Linked DNA regions of Tribolium castaneum. The protein of the gene in region 1 purifies or fractionates together with the protein of each later gene. This does not show direct contact. Links are inferred from orthologs where the notes say so. Each region holds a gene or a part of one and is shown on either strand. Other genes may lie near its edges. The genes, in order: Sh and UPAR/Ly6 domain-containing protein qvr.

The links.
Region 2: the proteins of Sh (region 1) and UPAR/Ly6 domain-containing protein qvr purify together in Drosophila melanogaster (affinity purification with western blotting, with the first as the bait; 3 studies listed by BioGRID). This does not show direct contact. The link is inferred for Tribolium castaneum from reciprocal best matches to the Drosophila melanogaster genes Sh and qvr.

The regions. Positions count from the first base shown.
Region 1 is NC_087394.1:28,473,133-28,476,960, reverse strand, and holds part of Sh (potassium voltage-gated channel protein Shaker), read left to right. Parts: intron 1-2,836; coding exon 2,837-2,966; intron 2,967-3,012; coding exon of another isoform or gene 3,013-3,149; intron 3,150-3,828.
Region 2 is NC_087396.1:21,875,950-21,880,368, reverse strand, and holds the start of UPAR/Ly6 domain-containing protein qvr, read right to left. Parts: upstream 2,921-4,419; 5' UTR 2,583-2,920; coding exon 2,537-2,582; intron 2,471-2,536; coding exon of another isoform or gene 2,429-2,470; intron 1,952-2,428; coding exon 1,904-1,951; intron 1-1,903. Other genes in the region: uncharacterized protein LOC103313876, read right to left, coding at 3,085-3,266, 3,515-3,929, 3,979-3,987.

The DNA.
Region 1 (3,828 bases):
AATACATTCAGTATTTTTTTTTTCATTTTTTTGATATTTTTGGCGAAGTAGTTGATATTAAGAAATCAGTTCTACTCTTTAACATTTCGAATGGACTTTTTCCCAGAACTGTTGTTGGCAACAAAGGCCACGCGCCCATGTTTCTGTTAGGATTTTTTCAAACTGAGATCATTTATCGCCGCCAAAATCTATTGGTGGACTTTATTATCCGCCAAATGCTCGCCATCATAAACATAGCCAAGTTCTTAATTTAGGGTCGGGCTAACGCCCATGAAATGTCGAATTATCCGCTCGCAATAAATAGTCAAAAAGATTGGCGCTCATTTGGATGTGGTTGCTGGTAGTGCTGCACGGATCTAAATGAAAAATTTACCCGGAACCGAATAACGCTATAGATTCTACACTAAACAAATAATCTGTTTCTTCTGTGTATTGAATGAATTTGAAATCTGCTGATTGTTCAGAATCGATAGCCACACATAAGAAAAACTTTTTTCAAAAAAGTGACGCATGGCCGAGCGGCAGGCACCTCAAAAAACAGACGCTTATTTAATAAGAAGTTTGTCCGGTTTCGATTGTACACGTTTACTGACTGTTTTTTATGTAAAATTTTTTGCTAAATTCGAATATGTAAGACATATTTTGATGTTTACTCGTCATATTTTTCTTCAGGTTAAAGCTAGAGACCTTTTTTTTGCAATAGATTCTCCAGTAAATATAAATTCTAAGTACACAAGCTACAGTTAATTTTTACAAAAGAAAACTAAAAGAATTACAGTTTTTGTGTAACTTATTACATTGTGTAGTAAAATTCTCAAGATGCGAGATGAAATGGTGCTAATAGTTTAGATAAGTTTTTGAGACACGAACGAAGTCGGGGGGCTTTTTCATTAAAAAGTGATTTACTTGTCACATGTAGAATTCAACTTGTATTCCAAGACAATTATCGCATAATCGTAAAATTATTTTTTTTAAATATTAATAATACATAATCGTTTTTCACATGTTCACTAAAGTGATCATACCTGAAGGATAGAAGGAATGGGAGAGTGTTCTTTCTTGGGACATTTTTTCATAAAAAAAATTTTTCACATCTTCCGAAATTAATTAATCTATTAACTATGACGAGCATGTTCAGTGTTACTTAATTACTTATAACAGAAAATAACAAAAAAAATTCTTGTACGTTGGGACAACATTAAATGCAAAAAAATGGGACCACGAATAAATAAATAAGAATTCACAAAATATGGAAACATATTTATTAAAACCTACATAAATGACATAAACTGTACTAGGATACAAAATTGGCGCATTCGGCGTTCAAAGTTTAAAGTGTTGGCTTTTTGTAGATGATCTGTCACAAAATCACTTAAAAATTCATCTTCACCACATACTCGTGTTTCATTATTTAGCAGACAAATGTAGGTGAATGCTGTGAACATTGAGCGATTTTTGTTAATAACTTTTTCTTCATTACATAATTTATTTTTTTGATATTTTCTATAAAATAATAAGAAATTAATGTATAACTTACATATTTCAATTTCCACAAAAACACACACAGACATAAAAATAAAATCGTTGTTGTTAAGTCGCAAAATATTAACAACAGCCAGGGTTTCTATGTTTTAAATGCTTAAATATGCTTGCAGAAACCGGGTCTTAAACCTTGTTTAAAACATGTTGTTTTGTTTTCAAAATATTGTTACAAATTCCAACCTCTTATCACAATTCATATACTTTTGCATTTGACAAAAAATTAAAAAACTTGTTCTCAAATAAGGACAAATCAGAAGAAGAACACGATGTATTTTTGTTTATATAAACGTTTATTATTTATTAACATATATCAATAAAAAACAAACAAAATGTTAATACATATTTCTTACTATTAAATGGAAATTAATATAATTATTGCTGGCTGAATTTAATGCCTTAAAAACACTAACAGTTTTGATACTTTCTTAACTCCTAGTCTATTTCTCTGACAAAAATAAACCATTTTTATAGTTGAACACCTTTTTATTAAAACAAAAACTAGGTTTAAAACACTGCTTTAAACAAATAAAATGGTATAAAATTAAAAATAATTTTTTGATTAATTTAAAAAAAACATGTTTTCTAACAACTCTGACAACAGCAGGATTACTTCGTCGAAATGAAAAAGGACACTACCTACCTTTGGAATTATGTTGGACAATTTATGCTTTATGATTATAGATTTGAAAAAATCGAAAATCTGTTACCTGTTTCCAGGCATTTTTGAGTGATTTAGCCCATTCTTGAGTAGTCACCTATTTCCAAAAAAATATTTATTTATGACAGAGAAACTCAAAAGTTAGGAACAGAACTAAAGTGTGTAATTTTAACCAATTTCAAGCGATTTAATTAGTAAATAAACTGTTTTTCTTTTGACTTGACAATTATTCACCGTTTTTGGCCGTTCGGCTGTTTGTAACAGAAAAAATAAACTGCAAATTAAGAGTAGTCGGACGACGTGGCGCTTGACCGTGAGAGCACTGGAGCTAGTGATTACTGATTACAAAGGGAAGATGTGACGATAAAAACACCAAAATTTGCTATATTTTTAAGATTTTAATTCAGCTAAAAATTTTACATCAGAAGATATCAGTTTTTAAAAAACGTGTGTCGTACGGTCATGTTGGTTTTGGGCAGCTTGTTCCCGGCCTAGCATGAATTTGAAATAGTTGCGTTTCCGTGCAGCACTAGTTGGTGGCACCGCTGTGCGTGATGTGGTGGTGATGGTGGTGTCCATCGGCAACTGACTCGGACCTCCCGGCCTCCTCTGGCCTCCTCCTTCTGTCTGTTGCAGGCGTGGTCCTTTTCTCGAGCATCGTCTACTTCGCGGAGGCGGGCGCCGAGCAGTCGTTCTTCAAGTCGATCCCGGACGCGTTCTGGTGGGCCGTGGTGACCATGACCACCGTGGGCTACGGCGACATGAGGTACAGTAGCGCACAGAGCCCGACTCACCCCTCCTCCTCCTTGCAGGTGTCGTGCTCTTCTCGAGCGCCGTCTACTTCGCTGAAGCGGGCTCCGAGAATTCCTTCTTCAAGTCCATCCCAGACGCGTTCTGGTGGGCAGTGGTCACCATGACGACTGTGGGCTACGGCGACATGACGTATGATGTACACACCTAATTCAGATTTAGTTGCCTCCACCGTAGCTAAACACACAAAGAGATTCGAGACCACGAGAAAATTCTTTGCTCCGAGGACGCGTCCAACGCCGCCCGGGCCCCCATCAAACCCTTGATGTCGTGACGCTCGATGTGTGCTCGATGTTGCTTGTCTCATAGGCCACTCAATCGCACCAAGTGCACAAACCCAATTCACTAAGAAACCACCAATGAAACCAGATGCGAATTCCAAAAGGCGTTCGCGAAAAAAAAATACAAAAATATTTAAATTAAAAAAAAGAGTTTAATTTAACGCTACATATTTGTCTGGTACGGAATAGCTTACATATCCTGCTGAACGCGCCAATTATTTTTTTATTATTTTATTAAAAATATTAAAAGGCCATAAGACATATACCATAAAATAAATTCAGGATATTTAGAAAATAGGTACCAAAATAGACTCTTTCGATTTTAAACTTCAAGAAACACGCATAATTTCTATTGAAAAGTTATCAGTCTTTTTTATTTTACTTTATTTTTATTTTTTTGCAATGGTTGATAAAATTCGTCGCGACGTTTCGACACTTTACTGTATCATTTTCAGGCGAAGAAGTTCTATTTTTTTACACTTGTGAGGCATAACACAGCCAGAGAAGAACCTTATGTTTACTGAGCATTTATTGAAC
Region 2 (4,419 bases), on another chromosome or scaffold:
AACTCAAAAACTAACTGGAAATTAACGTAATTTTGTTTTTTGTTTTTTTTTTGGTTTGTTCTAGCGAAATTCTTCAAAAAAGCCTAATATTTTAGTTCAAAAATGTTTTTAAAACGGTAAAACTGATACGATGTTTGACTAAATTTAATGATTTTTGCCTTATTCTTGACGTAATTGTGTTTCTGATCACAATTACGTCAAAAATAAGTCGAAAATCACTAAATTCACAAACTAAATCAAGCAAAACTAGCTAAACTATTTTCTATTCTGACCTAATTTTTTTATTTTTCTTCAATTTACGCCCAATTTTTCAAAACAATTAATTTTTTATTTCAAAAACATGTGTTTAAATGTTTGAAAAAGGCAAAAATAACATTGTTTTTGACTTAATTTCATGATTTTTCGAATAGTTTTTACGAAATTTTGTATAATTTTAATGAAAAATAAAGGTAAAACACCTGAAATAATGTGCTCATAGGTACCAACATAATAATTATTGTCCAGTAATTTCGCGATTTTTGGGTTTGTTTTAGTGACATTTTTTATAAAAACCCTGAGATTTTAGTTCAAAAAGGTGTATAAAGTCTAAAAAATGGTGAAACTGATGGAATTTTTGCGGGTTTCGACGTAATTTTGATCAAAAAACGAACTAATCAAGCAAAACAAGCTAAAATGTTTTAAAAACAATTTAGTTTTTACTTCAAAAACGTGCTTGAAGGTTTGAAAATGCAAAAGTAACTAAATAGCACATCATATAAGCCTAATTTAGAAAATTTTCCTTGTTTTAACAAAATTTTTAGCTTTGGAGGTTCTAAAAACACTTGAAATTAACGTAATTTTGTGTTTTTTTTGTTTTTTTTTTTTTTTGGTTATAAAAACTGTCAACGAGATCTGACATGTTAAAATTTTTTGCAAAAAATTAACATAGGCAATTTCTATAGTGGAAAATTTTATTCAATAAAAAATTCATAACTCAAAAACTAACTGGAAATTATTATTAAATTGTTTTTTTTTGGTTTGTTTTAGCGAAATTCTTCAAAAAAGCCTAATATTTTAGTTCAAAAATGTTTTAAAAACGGTAAAACTGATACGATGTTTGACTAAATTTAATGATTTTTGCCTTATTCTTGACGTAATTGTGTTTCTGATCACAATTACGTCAAAAATAAGTCGAAAATCACTAAATTCACAAACTAAATCAAGCGAAACTAGCTAAACTATTTTCTATTCTGACCTAATTTGTTTATTTTTCTTCAATTTACGCCCGATTTTTCAAAACAATTAATTTTTTATTTCAAAAACATGTGTTTAAATGTTTGAAAAAGGCAAAAATAACATTGTTTTTGACTTAATTTCATGATTTTTCGAATAGTTTTTACGAAATTTTGTTCTTGAAAATGCAAAAATAATGTAATTCGCAACGTAATTTTCTGTTTTTTTTGTTAGTTTTTCAAAATTTTTCAAAAATACAGTTCAGAAAGGTGAGTAAAGGCTTAAATAAGGTATTAATTTTTGTCAAAATTTCTTAATTTTTGGGTTATTTTTGAAGTAATTTCATTTATAAATCGGACCAAATTAGGTACAACATGGTAAAATGCTATTTATTCTGACCTAATTTGTCGTTTTTTAGCCACTTTAAGTATTTTTAAGTATACAAAAAAACAGTGCTTAAACGAAAACGTGCTTAAATTAATATTCGAAAAAAGCAAAAATGTTACACCAATTTGGGTCTAATTTATTGGCGATTTTTTACATAGTTCACTTTTTTAAGCAATTATTTTACAAAACTAACACGCTTGTAACTTCAAAAATCTTGTAATAGTCGACGAAATTACAATTTTTGTGTGTGAAAACCATTTTTTCAAACCAAACATCAAAAAAAAATGTTAAAATACAAACTTACTTTGACATTCCGCATTAATAACTCTTGTTATTGCTAGCAATACTATCACTGAAAACATAAACAATATTAAGTGGTTAGTAATTTAAAAATTGGCAAAAATCTACAGGAATAGGGTTATTGTTGTAAAGTTTCAAAATTTATTATTGTTTTTTTTCCTTGTAAAATTTCAGGACAAGTTTTCAGATCAACTGAAACCTGTTTCCAACACATCAGAAAATCAAATGCAACATCCGGCTTCGAGCAGATATTTTTAATTTCGCGTTTTTTACATAAAAATTTCCGAGAGATTAATCTTCCTATATTAATAATATTTGGCACGTTATAAACCTCAATACGCGTCTATTTTTACAAATTAATAAATGAAACTTTCTCTAAATATTTTTTATAAAAATAAACACCAAACATAATTAACCCGTCCCTAGCGCATCACTAATTGGATTTGTGAAATCTTTATCTCAAAAACCCTGACAACACCAACACCAAATTAATAGCGTTATTGCAACCACCTTCCAAAAGTTTACTCACGAGCACAGCTCCACTGGCAACTTGCAAAATTAACAAAAAAAACTGCAATAAACTACCCTGATTAGTCCTATTCCTGTCACTTAAGCGATCAAAACCAAGCAACATTACCTATAATTGCCAAGACGTACTCGATTCTAGTCTTCCTGAAAGACATTTTCGCTAATTCAAAGTCCTAAAAGCACCACACTCTCATCACTATCGTATTCGAATTTCGATAACTCGGTTATTTTGATTTCGTTCCCGGTTCGTGTCCATTTCTCTGCCGTGCTCCTCAAATTATATTGATCTACCTCGCATATCTATCTCTCTTTAACTCCCAAGCTTTATTTATGCGTTTTTCCACCGACTCTATTCTTTACCACTTAAAAATAAACCGCATTTCGTGTCCTCGAAGCGATGCCGAGTGGATTTGTGTGAAAACAGGACTTTTCAAGTGAAAAAATCGCGAAAACCGAGTTTCGAATAAAAGCCTGCGCAGGACGACTCAGGTACGCATGTCTGAAGCGAAATTCCCCCAGAATTGCAACAATTGATCAAACGATTTTTTACCTTTTGGGTATTTTTAGATTATTTTGATGCCAAGTGCTGTTTCACGTCGGAAATGTGATGAATAAAACAGAATTTTACTATCAAAATTTATTTAAAATACAAAACCCTCAATATGTTACCACAAAGAAAATAAAGGAATAAAAAAAAAGGAAATAGCAAAGATAAGGCACTTTTTGCAAGATAATGACAATTAAAATTACAGTAACACTCCTCAAATCACAACAATTTTGAAGCCACAAAAGAGGCAATTCAACCGAACTTCTCCCTTTCTTCTGAAATTGAGCCATATCTGAAATTTAATAAATTTCAATCAATTTTATTTTTACTGCAATTAATGTTTGTATCAATAATTTTAATTATCTAAAACTGATTGTTTCATTTGTCTCATTTTTTTTCGGTTTTTTATTCTCAAATTATTGGGAATATCGCCATTAAGATACATTTGCCTAAACAAGAGAAACTTTCTCGAGTTGGAAGAATCACAATAGATAAGGTAAGGGCAAGAAGTTGAACACTCTAACATACTAAGGAAACAACCTTTGGGGACGTCTCGTTTCGTCGCTCCATCATCAGGGTTTTTTTGCACTTTTTCTGCATTTTGTGTCGTTAATTTTTTCTTCTTCTTTCTTAGTCGTTTTTTCTGACTTTTGGTCAATAGTTGTGAATCAGTACTGCCACCTTCAGTCGAATTAACAGTCTCAGTAGTCCCAAATTCACTTTGATTGGTCACACCATCATTAGCAAATTTTTTCCTCAATCTTCTCAATTGGTTTTTCGATATTTTCGTTACTCCAACTTTAATTATCTTGTCTCTGCTTGGGTCTATGTCGATGGGTTGTGGCTTGTGATAATAATAGAAATCGTCGAGTTCGGTTTTTCCCCCATCATCGTCATCACTGTCCCCCTCAGACGTGTAACCATGAAGTCGCAAAATGTCGATGTTTATTTCGTCCTATAATTGCCGAAAATGGGAACAGAAATGGTAAAATTATCAAACCAACCTCGCCCATGTTTATGGGAAGCCCCGGTTTATAACCTAAAACACAACCTTGACAGTTTGGTGGTTATCAAATGATTTACTAACTGAATGAACACGCCGAGCAATTTCAATAACCAACTTTTTGATAAAACTATGATAACACGTGTGACCTTGAGGTTTCAAACGCCGTTTACGATGTTTCATTTTTTTGTTGTTTGGATTCGGGGGAAAAAATTAATAAGACGTATTGTACTGTCGTTTTATGTCGTTTATTCCTTATTTAATTTAATTTTTTAGTTGCCTTAATTGTAATATTTTATTGGCAACACTGAGACTTAATTATTTGGAGCCAGTTTCAAATTTTGGGTAATAATAAAACAAATTTTTGGTACTACTATCTTTATTAATGAGTCAAACATACAGTATTTTTTCTAAAGCCGTTTAAGGAAATTGTAAAAATAAG